Linked DNA regions of Schizosaccharomyces pombe. Each later gene encodes a partner of the first gene's protein in a complex. Each region holds a gene or a part of one and is shown in the gene's direction. Other genes may lie near its edges.

The links.
Region 2: fyv4 (region 1) and sws2 share a complex: the UniProt entries of both Schizosaccharomyces pombe proteins name them as parts of the mitochondrial small ribosomal subunit.
Region 3: fyv4 (region 1) and rsm27 share a complex: the UniProt entries of both Schizosaccharomyces pombe proteins name them as parts of the mitochondrial small ribosomal subunit.

Annotation. Positions count from the first base shown.
Region 1 is NC_003423.3:3,432,164-3,438,137, forward strand, and holds fyv4 (mitochondrial 37S ribosomal protein mS41 ), read left to right. Parts: upstream 1-1,504; 5' UTR 1,505-1,562; coding exon 1,563-1,656; exon of another isoform or gene 1,657-1,706; coding exon 1,707-1,954; 3' UTR 1,955-2,064; coding exon of another isoform or gene 2,065-2,397; 3' UTR 2,398-2,664; coding exon of another isoform or gene 2,665-4,209; 3' UTR 4,210-5,345; downstream 5,346-5,974. Other genes in the region: autophagy-associated protein Atg5, read right to left, coding at 39-431, 503-677, 724-842, 929-1,027; SPOM_SPBC4B4.12C (uncharacterized protein), read right to left, coding at 2,065-2,397; plasma membrane pantothenate transmembrane transporter Liz1, read right to left, coding at 2,665-4,209; syj1 (inositol-1,4,5-trisphosphate 5-phosphatase 1), read left to right, coding at 5,390-5,974. UniProt on the Schizosaccharomyces pombe protein: Component of the mitochondrial ribosome (mitoribosome), a dedicated translation machinery responsible for the synthesis of mitochondrial genome-encoded proteins, including at least some of the essential transmembrane subunits of the mitochondrial respiratory chain.
Region 2 is NC_003421.2:980,570-986,749, reverse strand, and holds sws2 (mitochondrial 37S ribosomal protein uS13m), read left to right. Parts: upstream 1-1,595; 5' UTR 1,596-1,758; coding exon 1,759-2,039; exon of another isoform or gene 2,040-2,109; coding exon 2,110-2,284; 3' UTR 2,285-2,506; coding exon of another isoform or gene 2,507-5,201; 3' UTR 5,202-5,258; coding exon of another isoform or gene 5,259-5,539; 3' UTR 5,540-5,604; downstream 5,605-6,180. Other genes in the region: P-factor pheromone Map2, read left to right, coding at 66-671; vid21 (NuA4 histone acetyltransferase complex scaffold subunit Vid21/Eaf1), read right to left, coding at 2,507-5,201, 5,259-5,539, 5,622-5,630. UniProt on the Schizosaccharomyces pombe protein: Component of the mitochondrial ribosome (mitoribosome), a dedicated translation machinery responsible for the synthesis of mitochondrial genome-encoded proteins, including at least some of the essential transmembrane subunits of the mitochondrial respiratory chain.
Region 3 is NC_003423.3:3,070,167-3,075,262, forward strand, and holds rsm27 (mitochondrial 37S ribosomal protein mS33), read left to right. Parts: upstream 1-2,087; 5' UTR 2,088-2,227; coding exon 2,228-2,463; intron 2,464-2,528; coding exon 2,529-2,566; intron 2,567-2,619; coding exon 2,620-2,627; 3' UTR 2,628-2,821; downstream 2,822-5,096. Other genes in the region: pyruvate dehydrogenase e1 component beta subunit Pdb1, read left to right, coding at 377-1,477; gpi1 (pig-Q), read right to left, coding at 2,822-4,783. UniProt on the Schizosaccharomyces pombe protein: Component of the mitochondrial ribosome (mitoribosome), a dedicated translation machinery responsible for the synthesis of mitochondrial genome-encoded proteins, including at least some of the essential transmembrane subunits of the mitochondrial respiratory chain.

The DNA of each region.
Region 1 (5,974 bases):
AAATTATCTAAAGGAGCTAGAGAAGAGACGTAAATGTTTTAAACTTTCATTAAAACAATATGTAAAAACCCATCAATGTAACAGAAATCTCGATTGAGCTCGTCTAAAACGCTCTGAAGAAAAATTGTAATACCATGAATAACTGGTTTAACTATTAAGAATTTATCACATGATGGAAACAAGTCGGGAAGGCGTTTATTGAGAAACTCACCAAGAGAACTACCAAGAGGTGCAGAAGTTTGTATAATAGGAGCATTGGCCCCTAAATAAATTTTTAAAGGAATGAATTTGGATTTTGAAAAAAGTATTTTTATAGCAATGGGACGGAAATCATAGTAATCATGATTGAGTATTGCATTCCAGTAGGTGTCTGTTTCTGCCTTTGAAAGAGCGATTATTCCAGACGAACTTCCGTTACGAACGTAATCAGACTGTAAAAAGTTAATATGGATTTACCCCTTTTGTAAATAAATCATATATGTTTTTGTGATAGAGAACGCACCTCTTTTAAGCAGTTGAAAAAATATGTTCGAAAAGTATCCATGGTTTCCATTTGAAGTATTTTGGTTGTAGGAAATAGACCTGAGCGCAATTGAATGCGCCATAGCACCGGCGCTCGAGGAGTATCCGGATCAAACACTGTTAACAAATCGAAAAGTAAGCCAACAGGCCAATGCCTATATTATGATTAATTTACGGAAAGTTACTTTGGGTAAACGATACCATTTAAGAGGAACCCCATTATAATCCAACCAACATTCTGATAAAGGGATTGAAGGTGCCAACAGACGTTGAACATTTGGGAGTATTTGAGCAAAATATGATTGTCGCGGGACGTTAGCCTTAGGTAGAATATGGTGAGCAAAAAGGAAAAAATAAATTGAGTTAAAGAATATTAAATTACTACTTGAGTGAACAAATCACATACTAGATAGGCCAGAGAATTACCTTCATAATCAATGCGCACAGAAATAGTGCCATTCCAAAGGAGCTCTGGAATATTGCCTTTATTATTATCGACATTCATTTTTAAAAAACATCTCCAATACTGTGATTAGAAATTGTGCTTTTGTTGTATACTTAACAAACTCGTGGGTGGTTGGAATGCGTTGATAAATAGCTTAGAGTCAGACATTCACTATAATTAGTTAAATTAATGTTTTTACAATTAAAGTAAGTGGGCTTTAAATACACATAGTAGAGTCTTCAAAAAATTCACCCGAAAATATAACTGGTAATTTATATGTTCAAAATACGAGTTCCTGCTATACAAAAACCGCAATTAGGAATTTGTAGATTCACTGTATTGATTAGTTAATAGACACGTAATGACTTTTCGGAAGTAGAAGTTTGAGATATTCAAGGGACTTGAAAGTTTGCATGCAGTAAATCTCATAAAAGAATTAAAAGCAAGGATTTATATAGCTAATAATTGCAGGCACTAAGCTTGACATGGTCGCACTATGAGTCGCTAGTACGTTTGTGAGACTTTCGCATACGTTCCAGAAACTGTACACAACTTATTTAAACAACCAAATATTTTTAAAACAATACTGGTAAATATGTTGATCTTGAAGAGGATTTTCATTATAAGAAATTTTATATTTCCTTTTTCTAACTGCCGGTATGCCTCTACTGTTCCTAGTCCAAGATCAGGTATGAGATTTCAAAACATTAGTGCAATTTAAATTCCTAACAAGATTCAGGGATTTCTAATACAAATGATTTCTTTAAAAGAATTGGAAGAGATACTGCAGAAAAAGTGAACGGAAAATTCGAGTCTTGGGATGGTCTATTTAGGAAAAGTACAAAAACTATGAAAAAGGAAGGTATTGATGTACGTACAAGGAAATACATTGCAAGCCAAAGAAACCGATTTAAAGAAGGGTTTATAGTTAAGCCATATCCAGTTATGGTTAAAAAGAATGGAGGTGAGCGACGCAAACGTAAATAATAAGTATATGGAATATTATATTCTTTTGAGACATTCTTTCTTCTTTTTGTAGTTGAGTTTTTGCTTGAGTTCGAATTAATCTAAAATTTGCTTAAAATAGCCAACACTGTTCAAAGCATGTCTTTTCTCGACGAAGATGTGGAGCCTAGAACGCAAAGCCGATTAAACAATTGTCCATGAAACCATTTAGCAAATTCTGGAGAATTTTCCATTAGTGCGGAATTGGCGCTAGGGTATTGTCTCCCTCTTTCCAAGTTATTTTCATTTGTTTCGTTCACGGGCTTCCATTCCCACTCTCCTGCCCAGATTAATTTAGCTTCAATTTTTTCTCTAGTCCTAATATATAAAAAATTTTCTTTTAGCTCCATTAAGTCTACACCATCGCTAAATTCCTTTAGGACTGATGTATACTCAATAACTTGTTGATCATTGCCGGATACCATCCAAACTATACGTATAGTTGGTATTTCTATTTAATGGTTATAAATTTTTAACTTCAGCTGCACCTTAAATCGTTTGTTAGCAGATTCTTTTTGAGTATGTGTGCAAAGGTATTCGTTTGCGTTTGCGTCAAAGGGCTTGGTCAATTAGATGAGCCAACTGTGGTAAATTTTTATGTTAGGTTGATATCAATATGAACAGCAAATTTACTCTAAATGTGTACTTAAAGGCATAAGGAATATTTATACTATGTCATTAATCTTCTAGTACTAATCTTGGGCATTCGTTTCTTTTGGCATGGAAATTCGCTGTCGCGTTATCACAAGCCCTGGAGAACTAATTTCTTTGACCGCATTAGTTGTGTTGAGTGATTCCTCATCATTTTTGCCTATTTTTTTTAACTCTAAACTTTCATGCTCAGTGAATACATCATCGAAATCTTTTGCATCCTGGATGGATCGTTTAATTCTTTTATCGCGGATTTGCATGTAACTAACAATACAAGAGCTAACAAAGACTATTCCTCCTACCACCAGCAAACCAATTAATCCTTTTATAAATCGAGGCGTATCAGTATTGGGATACATTATAGGTGCCCACCAAATATGCCAGATATTCTGACACATATTCATCAAAAACACAACAACTCCTCTTTCCTGATCATTATCCCGGCAAATGTCATTTGCCCAAGAAAACCAAACTGCTTGTCCAGCATATGTACAACCAGAAGCGAAATAAGCAAAGAATTTTGCGCCATCTGGCACGTTCCATGCTAGAAGTATTGTAGCAGAAACAGTAGTAATTACGCACAGAAAAAGTCCAAAAGGCCATCTTGGGTTTCCAGCTAATTTATCAGAAATAACACTAGCACCTAACGTTGATACTACGCCAACAGCTGTAATCACAGTTGGGTAATTATTTATTTGGGCAACAGAAAATTTGTTGCTCCATTTCATCCACTGACCCATCAATACATTGACAGCTATAGCTTGTGTTTCTCCGCTAAAAATCCAAAGGATGCACAAACCGTAAATTCGCCATGAACGTACAATATCCTTTATCGCTTTTAGCGTTAATGGCTTCTTCTTGGGGCGAGCGGGTAGCCTTTTGAAACTTAATTCTTTTTCTTGTTCTGTAAAATAAGGAGCCTTGGTTGTTTCTGGAACGTCAGGAAACAGAAAGAGCCCATATAATGAAAGAGGAATCGTCAAAATGCCATCAATTATAAAAAGCCAACGCCAACCAGATAAACCACCTTTACCATTTAATGATGAATGAACTGCTGTTTGCAAATACCCAGCAAACATTGTGCCGACTAAACCAGAGGCTGAAAAAATTCCGGCACGTTTGCATAGTTCACTTTCTTTGTACCATGCGCCCAATATATAATGCGTACCAGCAAATGTAGATGCCTCCGCAACCGCCATGAAAAAGCGTAAAATCATCAATGCTCGAACGGAATGTACCGCAAATGAAAAAATCGTCATAAGTCCCCATAAAATATTCATAACCGAAAACCAAAGTCTTGCTGGTACTCTCTGTAATGCATAAGAACCTGGCAATTGTCCTATAATGTATCCACATGTAAAAACAACGTTTATATCTTGCAATTCATTACCATGCATTTTCAAATCCTCTTGCATACCACTAAGGTATGCATTGTTTATTGATGATCTATCCAAGTAATTAATAAAATATGAAACGCAACAGTAAGAAAGTATGAACCAATCTATTTTTATTAAAAGCTTTTGTTCAACTTTGTTTAATCCATAATAAGGGGAAAAGGTTTTTGCCAACCTATTTAGTAACGCCATTACGACTTGTCTCACTTATGAAATATTCACGACAATTTACAGAGGAGACCTAACTTAAATTTTTATGGCTTTAGAAAACGTACAATTTCAATGGATTCTCATGAAAAGTGCCTATATTAAAGTAAAGCCAGGGACCTAAGCAAGGAACAAACACTTCGAGTCAAAATCGAATTGCAGACTGTTGGAATATCAATATGCTCCAGCCAGGAAAATTTTTTCTTTAATTTTTCTGAAAAATCAAGATTATAAGTATCGATCGAGCCTTCTAAAAAGTGACAATATCAATGCCGGAAACCCAATCTTAATTTTTAGATGTGCGCTGATTACTCGGAATTGGCTAGCAAGTTGGATACTTATTCTCGACGTAGCCACAATGAGTACTATACTTTGCTGCTCTATTTGTGGAAATTAACTGTATTGCAAAAAACATCTAACCTTTCAATTAATAAGCATTCGGTTCAAGTGGCTACAATACAATAACCACTATTTGCGAGATTAAACATACTATTACAGTAACCAACACATTTGAAATGTAAAAAATTGCCATAGTTGAAGCTATTCAGCGTCAGCGAACATCTTCGGAGAGCTCAAATAATCTTAGCTCTTAAGATGGGGGTTTTTTCTGCCGAATACTGTATCTGTTTGACTTTTATTTTTAATACGTTGGAGTAACCGCTGTATTCTTGTGCAACTTGGTGTTTTTGAAATTAACAATGGCACTGTTGATGAACGAAAGTGAATTATAATACATTTTTTGACAGTACCAATCTTATGGAAGTGCCTTGAAATCCTGTTACGTTACGTTTTAGCAAGATCGCTTCTCTTATGATTTTCTTGTTTCAATGGTTTTCTACCCATAATCAATGAAATATGTTTACAAGGGTTACGAGTTTTGTAAAGCAAATGCACTTTAAAAATTGACCAGAAACTTCCATATATTAGAACCAAAATTTTTTGGAATACATTTTAACATAGTAAATTAAAATAAGCCGTTTACTTATTCTAATTTACAGAAGCGCTTCTATAATGTTTAAGTAACGAACGTTTTTGTCACCCAACACCACCCAACTTCGTATCCCAAGATTTATAACTTGTTCGGACAAACATCGTTGGTAAAGACTTGCATCGTTCATTACAGAACGAATTTTATTATTTATAGTTCACATTTGTGAATCTTAAGATGCAATGTCTGCTGAGGGAAAAGCCAAGATCCTTGGCCTTAGTCAATAAGGACCATGCTCTTATGTTTCATTCGGTTCCTCAGAACAAAAACTCTTTATCAGTATGTGTTGCAGAATTTACGGCATTGTCAGAAAAGCCGTTAGAAGGATTTCGAAAAATCTCCAGTCATCGAATTTATGGTACTCTAGGTCTGATTGAATTAGAAGGGTCCAATTTTTTGTGCGTGATTAGTGGAGCTAGTGAGGTAGCACGTGTGCGAGATAAAGAAAGAGTTTTTCGTATCATGGAGGTCTGCTTTTACAGTGTTAATCGTTCAAACTGGGATCACATTCGACAAGAAAATTACTCGCCTGATATTCCGGATGGTTACGATACCGATACCCAAGGCTATGATTCTTACAAGTATGCCGCTGAACCATTCAGTAGTCTCAGAAAGCTATTAACAAATGGATCATTTTACTTTTCTCTCGATTTTGACATTACTACCCGACTGCAACTTCGTACGTCTCAAACAATGACGGAGCCTCAATATGATAGCATGCATACTCAATTTATGTGGAACGAATTTATGCTTAGACAGTTG
Region 2 (6,180 bases), on another chromosome or scaffold:
TCATCGCTTAAACTATCTTTCTTTTTCTAACTTATCAACGAAATTTTATTTTTTTCACATACATTATGAAGATCACCGCTGTCATTGCCCTTTTATTCTCACTTGCTGCTGCCTCACCTATTCCAGTTGCCGATCCTGGTGTGGTTTCAGTTAGCAAGTCATATGCTGATTTCCTTCGTGTTTACCAAAGTTGGAACACTTTTGCTAATCCTGATAGACCCAACTTGAAAAAGCGCGAATTCGAAGCTGCTCCCGCAAAAACTTATGCTGATTTCCTTCGTGCTTATCAAAGTTGGAACACTTTTGTTAATCCTGACAGACCCAATTTGAAAAAGCGTGAGTTTGAAGCTGCCCCAGAGAAGAGTTATGCTGATTTCCTTCGTGCTTACCATAGTTGGAACACTTTTGTTAATCCTGACAGACCCAACTTGAAAAAGCGCGAATTCGAAGCTGCTCCCGCAAAAACTTATGCTGATTTCCTTCGTGCTTACCAAAGTTGGAACACTTTTGTTAATCCTGACAGACCCAACTTGAAAAAGCGCACTGAAGAAGATGAAGAGAATGAGGAAGAGGATGAAGAATACTATCGCTTTCTTCAGTTTTATATCATGACTGTCCCAGAGAATTCCACTATTACAGATGTCAATATTACTGCCAAATTTGAGAGCTAAACTCATTTTATCTTCATATTTTTTTTATTTTCTAGTATGTTAGCCCACACATCTTTACAAAGCCATGTGAAGCAATTTTTTAAATTAATTGCTATTTTCGATCTATTATTTTACCATACGATCTGTATTCCTATTCGCAATAATATTTTTAATTTTCATCTTAGTCTTCATATTGTAAAAAAAAAAAAAAAAAAAAAAAAAAAAAAAGAAAAAACGTATAGTAGTTACAATATTACTGAAATCTACAGTACTATACTTCTTTCAGTTGCTTTGTTTTTTAAAGTTAAATAAAACATCAATTTAAAAACTGACTATTAAACCACATGATTTGCGGATTGCTTAAGTAATAATAAAAATGAACACTACCAATTGTGTTAAGCGATAAAATTAGTCATATCCCATATAAGAAGAAAGCACTGAAGTTTCAATTGAAATGCGGAAAGCTACTGCTCATTTAAAATGCCTAGGACCTGCACAAGCATAGCAATGTAAAGGAGCTGCACTTGAAATATATATGACAGTTGAGATCCGCAAAGCATTGTTAGAATATATAAAATTTTATTCCAAAACTTTTTACTGTACTTCCGCATGTACTGTTGAACATTCAACTTTGTAAGAGACAGTAATGTCGTGAATATATTTTTCAATAATAAATTTTAAACTGAGACCATTGAACGAAGGGATCATTTGAGTTCATAAATTTTAAAATTTGAACAGAAAAGGAAGGCCTTTGACGATATCTCTTCTTTATTTGTTTTTCTTCGTCTTACCTTGCCCTATTTATGGTCTTCTTAAACATCAAATTACACCTTAGATAGTAGCTCTTTAATGATTACTCAAATTGTCTTTTATTACTAGGCCCGGAGTCTGTACAATCTAACTAGTTTTCTAAAAATATGAGAGATCCAACTGTGTATTATATCTAAACACCACCACTCCACTCTTTTACAAGAAAGCCTAATACTTATATTCAGAACGGTTTTAAGCTCTCTGATTACTGATAGAGAACTGAATTACAAAACCAAATTGTCCACTTCATTATTGAGCTGGTTTCTGTCTCATCTGTTGATATCTGAGATTTTGCATCATGGTATACATACTTGGAGTGGCTGTAAACGACGATAAACCTGTGCGGTTTGCTCTACTTTCTTTTTATGGAATTGGACATGCCAAGGCTGAAGAAATATGCGCAAAATTATCATTTCACAATACGTTAAGGGTTCGAGAGCTGACAAATGTTCAATTGACAACGTTGTCGCAACTGCTATCAGGAATGACTATTGAAGGTGACTTACGGCGTCAACGGAATGCTGATATCTCAAGATTGGTGAATATCCGATGCTATCGGGGAATGAGACATGTAAACGGGTATGAAAAGATCATTTGTGAACGTAGCTGTCTTCGACAACTTTTTCAACTTAACTAATGAATATTTCAGGTTACCCGTTAATGGACAGAACACTCGGACGAATGCAAAGACTGCTAAGAAGCTAAACAAAGTCCCACGACGAGGTTATATGACACTGTCGCCCGCTTCTACAAGGCCCATCACATGGAGTTTTTGTCTACCGAGAATGGTGTCTGTCTTTCAAAAATTAAAACATATTCATTAGCTAAAATAACGTTTATGAAATCAAACTTCACTTATCATGTACACTTCGTATTACCTCGATTTGCTTGATTCTGTTAAAAAACCAACAACCGGGATACGAAAATGAAAACGTATTCTATTTTTATTGTGTGAGAGAAAAAGCTCTCGCCTCGTAATTTCCTTCTAATATACAACAGCACTCAAAAAAAATACAATAAATCGAAAAATTGCATTGAGGCGATACTTACTGTGTCCTTTCAGTAGTAGGTACAGTTTGCTTCCTTTGCTGCAACTGATGAATTTGTTCAGGTGTTAGTTTTAAAGAACTGGAAACAGCGTATGGCTGAAGCCTGGGGACCATTCTACCAGCTATAGGCGAGACACCCGCTGATGAATTGTTACTACTATTTTGTGAAGCAGCTACAGCTTGAAAGGCTGCTAGTTGCTGGTTGTGTTGTTGTGCACCAGCAGCAACAGCGGCGTTTTGCGGCCGTAGAGCCCTGTTTTGTGATTGCAATTGTGCAAAGTTTCTCTGAGCCTGTATTTGCTGTATTTGTGCCTCACGCTCAGATTTCAAACGAGAAAGTTCGAGAGGGGAAGGAACCGGCGGCAATTTTTCAGTTGAAGCTGCAGATGGTGCAATCGCTCTCTTGGTCATAGTGGGTTTTTTAGCAAACTCTCTCTTTTTAAGGATCTTTCGTATAGCTTCAAATATAGTAATGGGTCGGTAATGTCTTGATACAGTTGGCAATAAGAAGTAAGAATTATGTTTAATCAAATGGTTAGGTGTTCCTTCATCCCGTAAGGATAGATGTTGGCTAACTTTATCCGAATGTCTTAAGGATTCATCTAATTTCTGCTGAGCGAGTCTTGCATGGGAGCCAGTCAATTGGACATTGGCGGCTCTGGGATCCACTTGAATCCATCTTTCAAAACAATCCCACGCAGTCCGCTTCTCGGCAAGCGGTATGTACAAACCTGGTGGTGTTAACCTACTGGCAACAAATTCCCAATTAAAGGAATATCGTCGCAAGAGTAATAAAAGGAGTTCATCTTCTTCGGGCAACCAAGGGGCTTCTGGACGAATATCTTTACTAGAAGGCGGATACGGAGGCCGCACACTAAAGGTTCCTACTGAGGATAGCTTCTGATTATCATCCTTAATTTTATTTCCATCTAGCTGGTTCTCATCGCTTCTCGCCTTCTTTTCCATAAACGACTCAGGTGGTGATAATTCCAATTGGTTGAACAAACGTTTCCTAGAAGCCTTTGCACAGGTGGATTTAAGCTTTGTTTTGGCATATGCAAAACGTGACACAGGAGTGATCGGGTACTTTTCAGATATTTCTTCACAATATTCATTGTTTTCAGTAGGAGGACCGTACATAGGAACGTTTAAAACGCAGTTCTGAATTTGTTCGGAGTTTGTTGTCACAAATATATCATCCGAAAAAACAGCATTATAAAACTGTAAAGAATCCCTGGGAATAGAGAGCACTTTGTTGTTATTATTATCATTTAGATTAAAATGGCTCACTATTTGTTCATTAAACGTTTCCTCGTGAGAGTCTTTCTGATGTTCATTCTCTTGCATGTACGGCTTCTTATTCTTTGACAACGAAGCCGGAGTACAAACAGTACATTTATCACTAGCTTGATGGTAATCCATTACCCAATTCGCCATTCTATGAGCCAATATAATTTTCCATTTACGCTCTTGAGAAAAATCAATTGACATCCATTGCATCTCATCCAAAACATAATCCCGATGAGTTTTCAATCGTGGCATCTCGTTTTGTCTTTTGGGCTGTCTAAAGGACCAAATACCTTTTTCTTTTGCAACCGTTAAATGATGTAGTGATTGTCGTACAATTTCCTCGCGATACGCATGAGACCAGTTATCTGATAGAACATATTTATGTGCATTTTTCAACCTTAAATGTAAAGGCGACATTTCTGTTCGAAGCAGCCATGCTTCTGAGGAAAGCTCTGGTTTCACCGGTTCAGAAAATTTTGAAGGAGGAATTAAAGTTAGTGGCATAGATACAGAAAGTTCAAAAAGCGGAGCTTCAACCCCAGTTCTGTCAATTGTAGGGGATTTTTCCGATGGTAACTTATTTTCCATTTGTAATTTACTAGGCTCAACAATTTCATCTACTGGCTTCTCGTTGACATCAACCGCTACTTCCTGAACAGGAGATTCAGTGGCCTTGTCAACGGAAATGATTTGTTGTTCCGAAGGAATCTCTTGATTATTTAATAATTGTATAGTTTTTTCAATATCAATACCTGATTGTACATTCTCAACATCATTTTCAGTGACCTTGGCTTCAGGAGAATGAACTTCTTCAACTTCATCAACCTTTGGGACTTTATCTTCAATTTCCAAAACTTCTGCAACAGTGACAGGGGGAGCCGTAGGTTCCGTTGTCTCTGATACCTCTTTCTTTTTCACTTCTTTAGACTCAACTTGATCAGTCGCAACCTCTACCGGTTTGGTAACGGTCACATTTTCTTCATTCCCATCTTCCTCATGTTCCTTTTCGGTAGCTTCAACCACTCTTAATTGCTTATCGACTCCTTCTTCTTGAGAGGATTTGTTTGCAAGTTCTTCGGTAAGCTGTCGAGCAGCATACTCGCTATCTGGCGTCAAAGGGCCTTTTTCCTCTTCAGCATGAGCAGTGGTTTCCACTTCTTTTACGGGTGTTGTTGGTTCAATAGTTTCTTTCTCTTCTACGTCAATATTTTTATGTATAGTTTCAGGTGAAGGTATGGGAGATTTTGACGTTATAATTTCCTCCTCGCTAAGTTCTAGGGAAGTTTCTTTTAAAGGTGTCTCCTCTGAAACTCCTTCCAAATTATCGGGTTCTTCGGGAACTATCGGTTCTTCAACGATAGGAGTTACAGATTCTCTAGCTGAAAGATTAAAATTTCGCCCCCTTGCATGTTAGTTGTACATTTGAGGAAAATACAAAAAGTTACTCAATGAGACATACCTTTTAAAACGATACTTTTGATAAAAGTTAAACCACTCAGAAACTTGCTCTGGTAAAAGATCACTTGATGAATGAAGCCATTCTAATCCATTAGGAAACTTGCAATGCAACCAAAATAAAAGAAGTAACTTTTCATGTTTCTCTTTTGTTAACTTAATCTCTTCATTGTCTACAGAGTCGTTTTCTTCTTCTTCGTCTAGAGTAAAAAGGGAGGCAAAAGAATCTGTTATCGATAATTTTTCACCATCGACTAAAGCAATTTGACTGGTTTTGGTCTCCTTCTTTTTAATTAAAAATATTAATTAGTTATCGAAGTACAATAAAATTATCACTTTAAGGCCCGTAAGACTCGTAAAAACGTACCTGTTTCATAATCCCAATTTAAGCGGAATTACGCTGGAAAAAGCATACAAATCGTATTCTAGAAAAGACACAGTTTTGCTTTTATATTTATTGTATGATGATATAAAGAACTCAAGGATCCTGTATACTTTCAGACCTAATGTGAACGAAGTTAGTCTGATGGTGTTGAGGCCCCCCAAGGGATTTGAGCCCGCAATCAACCACCATATTAGGTGAAGTAGAAAAACAAGGAAATAGCACTCTACTAGGACACAGTTTTGAACTACAAGTACAGCAATAAGACTGTCTTTTATTTTCGTCTTTTTGTTGCTCGGAGAAATCGCTTGTTCTATTTAAAAGTTGAGACGTTACCATAAAGGTTATCGGCATATTTCAAAGCTTTAAAAACGTTTCCCTTTCAACTTAAATTATTCAAAAATACATTCAGTTGAGCTACATGCCAAACCTACTATCATATCATTCTAAAAAAACTATCGTTAAGTGATCTATTTCTCCCTTATTTTCAATTTGTATTTATTATTTTACGACGTGCTAGGAATTGTGAAAGACTCTTATTTAT
Region 3 (5,096 bases), 360 kb from region 1:
GGCAATCAATTTTGAGCACCGTATCTAGTGATAACAAATTATCTTTATCGGTTAAGCACGTTATTGCAGCTGCTTCAGTATGTACACATTTCACTATTTAGCAAAAATAAGATGAAACAAATGATACTACTAAGAGGTTATAATCATATCAGACTGTTTAACCATTCTTTTGTCATTTGCAATAAACACAAAATTTATAAAAGTGGTAGTATTCTTGTTAATCATCTACGTACTGTATTTAATTTGTTGTACCATAAGCCAACTCGAAATATTTTACCATCACACTGTTCTACTTTGCCCACTACACATATACAACAACACAGCGGGATAGCCCTAATTTTTAACGAAGTTAAAAAGAAGTTTGAGGGAATTTAAAATGATTCGTCTTCAAAAGTTTGGTGAAATTGTTGGGACCAGTCGTTCTTGGAAACTTCTTAGTTCAACCATCGCAAAGCGCTATTCTTCTTCTTCCAATGGAGTGAAGGAAATGACCGTTCGTGATGCTTTGAACAGTGCAATGGAAGAAGAAATGAAACGTGACGATCGTGTCTTCTTGATTGGCGAAGAGGTTGCGCAATACAATGGTGCTTATAAGATATCTAGAGGTTTATTAGACAAGTTTGGTCCTAAACGTGTTATCGACACTCCCATTACTGAAATGGGTTTTACTGGTTTGGCAACAGGTGCTGCTTTTGCTGGTTTACGTCCTATTTGTGAGTTTATGACTTTCAATTTTTCCATGCAGGCTATCGATCATATCGTTAACTCGGCCGCCAGAACCCTGTACATGTCTGGTGGTATTCAGGCTTGTCCTATTGTCTTCCGTGGACCTAATGGGCCTGCCGCTGCAGTTGCTGCTCAGCATTCTCAACACTTTGCTCCATGGTATGGTAGTATCCCTGGTCTTAAAGTAGTTTCTCCTTACTCAGCAGAAGATGCTCGTGGTTTGTTGAAGGCTGCTATTCGTGATCCTAATCCCGTTGTTGTACTTGAAAACGAAATTCTTTATGGTAAAACCTTTCCAATTTCGAAAGAAGCGTTGAGCGAGGACTTTGTGCTTCCCTTTGGCCTTGCTAAGGTGGAGCGCCCCGGTAAAGATATCACCATCGTTGGTGAGTCTATTTCTGTTGTTACTGCTTTAGAAGCAGCTGACAAGCTCAAGGCTGACTATGGTGTTGAAGCTGAAGTTATAAACTTGCGTAGTATTCGTCCTTTAGACATCAATACTATCGCGGCCAGTGTTAAGAAGACAAATCGTATTGTGACTGTTGACCAGGCATATAGTCAACATGGTATTGGTAGTGAAATTGCTGCTCAAATTATGGAGTCTGACGCATTTGATTATCTTGATGCTCCTGTTGAACGTGTAAGTATGGCAGATGTTCCCATGCCTTATAGTCATCCTGTTGAGGCTGCTTCTGTCCCAAATGCCGATGTTGTTGTTGCTGCTGCTAAAAAATGCTTGTATATTAAATAACAAGCTCAATTGTTGAGTCATCTGTTTAATAAAACCCGCTCTTTTCCCTTTTCCGAATAGTTGATATCTACGTATTTCGCTTTCTATTATTTTTACATTATCTACAAAGTGTAAATATCTAAGATGCTTGTCTTTAATGACTCAGATTATTGTGTGTGGGTCTTAGATGGTTTTAATTTCTTTGCAATTATTTGCGAAGATATGATTTTTCCAACCATCTTTCCAATTGGTTATCCGGGTTGGTATATCTACCTTTCAGGATAGTTTTGCTTCGTTTATCCTTAATATATGTTATATTGTATATATTACTAAATTCGTGTAAGTTTTTTAACGTAATCTGAAAGCCAGTGAACTTCAATTATATTATATTACAGCTAATGGAAATAATACGCTATATGAATATGTTCAACTATTTGGTGTCTATTATACTCTACTTAACTACTCGTAACCTCTTAAAGCGTAGAATATTAAGTACTTGATCCCACTAAACCTATTTACAGGTCTATCTTTAGTCAATGCACCAAAATGTTTCCATGTGGGGTTGATGAACTACTTATCCCACATCATCCGCTGTAGTATATCTAAGTAGACTTGCGCTAATAATACTTACAATAACAGAATTTCAGAATCCTTGCAGATGAAATCATAGTAGTGTCTTTAGCCTTATTATTGTTGTTTTTATTTCGTTTTGCCTTTAACTTTAAGCAACCACATTCCCTAGGAGCCTTCCCTAATTTTTGGTATAAAATCATGGCTAGCAAAGCAATCCTGGAAGAATTAAATATTCTCTCATCAAAAATATTTGGCACTCAGTATAAATCAAACAACTCGAGAACGGGTCGCAAATTTGTAGTACAAGAGCTGAAGGGAGCAAAACTGAAGAGCTACTATCCCGCAACTATCAATTATCGTCAATTAAGGACCCTTTTAAATGATAAAACATTTCCCGATAGTGATGAGGAATTGCGAATGGAAATCAGGAAAGGGTATGTTAGTTGTTAATTGAGATTGAATGTTTCTTTCACAAGAAATTAGCTAATTAAAATACTAGGAGAATACGCCAAGGAAAAGGAGCCTCCAAGTCAAAAAGTATGTAAAGCTTACTATAAAACCGAATTAGGAACCTTCTAACTCCTGTTTAGAAAAATAAATAATTGAAAATTGTGCCTTTCTAATACTTTGCGGTTACATTTCGCACATTTTCTTTCCAATTATTATCAAATGGGTAACGGCTAAACAGCTTTGAACGAAACTGATAAACTAAGTTTAATTATAAAAATTTTGTTGTTTCATAAACAAAAAATATTATATATCAACTGTGTGCAACAATACTTAACATTTTGATCAGTCGTAAGGAAATTTTTTCTGATGAAAAAGAAGATCTCGCAGTTTTCTAATAGATATTCTTTTGGTCGGAAGCATAGCGTACTGGATATTGTAGAGTTGCTCAGCAGGTATCGCTGGAACTGGGCAACCTACGAGCAAACTAATCAAAGTAGTTTTTGAAAGGTAATGCGAAATTAACCTACGCGCCAGTTTCCGATAATGCTCAAACATGGATCCAAGAGACATCGGTTTGGAGTTGCAATTGAGATATAGCGTTGCGAAGCCGTCTTGTTTTAATGGTTCAAAGCTGACTATCTCAAAATTCAGCCCACTTGGTATTCTATAAGGATCTTTAATTCGTAACATTGTAACAAATAATGGGAAGTGATTCAGGAAGGCTAACATAGTTTCACAGATTGCCAAGCATGTCATCACGGATACTCGTGTTAATGCAAATGCTGCATAGAAAACATATATTGTAGGTAAGAAGAATATTAGTACCGTAAAAAGGATTGTTCCTAAAAGTAGTTGGTCTAAATCATACTCATATGAGTCGATTCTATTTCGTAAAACGTTTCTTTTTTTTCCTCGAAAAAGCTGCAGCAAACTATAAATTACACGTAGCTGCCAATTATACAAACGTGATGAAGCCAAATAAAGCAAATGTATATGAATAGTCATAACACTTAAAAAATCAGAAATTAAAGCGATCATTAAACTAGCACCCCCAAACCCAGAAATAGCGACAACTTGAACCAAAAATGGAGTCCAAGGCAAACAATGCAAAAGAAAATTACTCCATACGTCAATAACCCATACAGAAAGCTTCATAATAAACTTGCAAATGTCGTTGTTTAGTTTTAATCCAGCAGGAGTATCCACGAGCCATATAACCATAGAACGAACGTTTTTTATCGCATACTCGAATGTGATATTTTCTATTAATTTTACCACCAGATGAAGATTCTCTAAAATAAATGAACTCATTGTAATCCCAAAGATCATGTCATTCGCAACCAACCAAAGGTTGTTATAGAATCTAATATATTCTTTGTAATCCTCTATCGCAACGCGCTTGCTTTTCCGAAAAACCCATAATTTCATATATTGTACAGGCCAAAAACACGCTTGTTGCAACCTCAAATCTACTTGACGAGCAGAAACGAAAATATCCATCATATTATAAGATAAAGGAATCGGTCGGTAATTAATCGCCAAGAGTATAACCTCATTAATTATCCTCAATAATATGATAAAGTAAGCAAACAGCGAATTAAAAAAATAAAAGGTTGATGACGAGACACGATCAAAAAGTCGAAAAACATATGAATTTTTTTTGTTATTATTTTCATGTGTTAACATGCGAACCTCGAAGGATTGATTAAGAAGCTCAATTAAGCCTGAGCGTAGACTCCTTTTCCAGCTATTTTCTTTGCGTCGGGGAAAGTGCAATTTCAATTTTTTTAACAGTATTTGCTGGTGTTGCATGCTTTCGTATTCAGGGTTTGACTTGTTAATAAAACTATCTTTTAACAATAAAAGCGATAGAGGTTCAAGGGAAAGAAATTGCATTTTTCTTGGCTGCGGAGGATGATAATAAATTATATGCAGATTTATTTTTAAAGGCGTACTAGCCGAATCGAAAACTCGGGGATGAGAAAGCTCAGTCGATTGCTGCACTTTGATCCAACAATCAATTTCATATTTGTCACCCGGCAAAATATCGGCAGAGCAATTAAACGTGCCTAATATACACAGAGATTTAATATCTACTGATTGATCTTGATTTTTGCAATAATCAACTAAAAAATTAGCGAAGGATTGATAACTAGTAATTGTTGTCACAACGATAAGATCGTTGGTAGAGTACTTCCAACCAACTAAGTAACCAGAATCGGTATAAGAGATCGTACTTTTGGGCCAATATATCCGTTTCACTTCAATTGGAGCCGAAGCTATATTCATGGTTGTGGTAGACATTTGAAATATAATATTGAATGCTCTGAAGTCAATTCCGAAGTGTTTAATAAAAAAGACAAACAAGTAATAACAGACTTTAGAAGCATACAAAAAACTTTTGTTAAGAAAAATATAACAGGAGATGATACTGCTCTCTCCGGTGTTTAGAACTCAAGTTGTAAAATCAAAAACTTCCTCGACGTAAAAGCTGTTCCCTTGCAGAAATGCCACCGCTAACTGACGTTGAGTTACGAGCTTCGGATTCAGCGATTCGTTCTAAAAGAATGAAAATAAAAAATCCTAAAACGGTAAACAGTAGTACGTATGAAGGAAC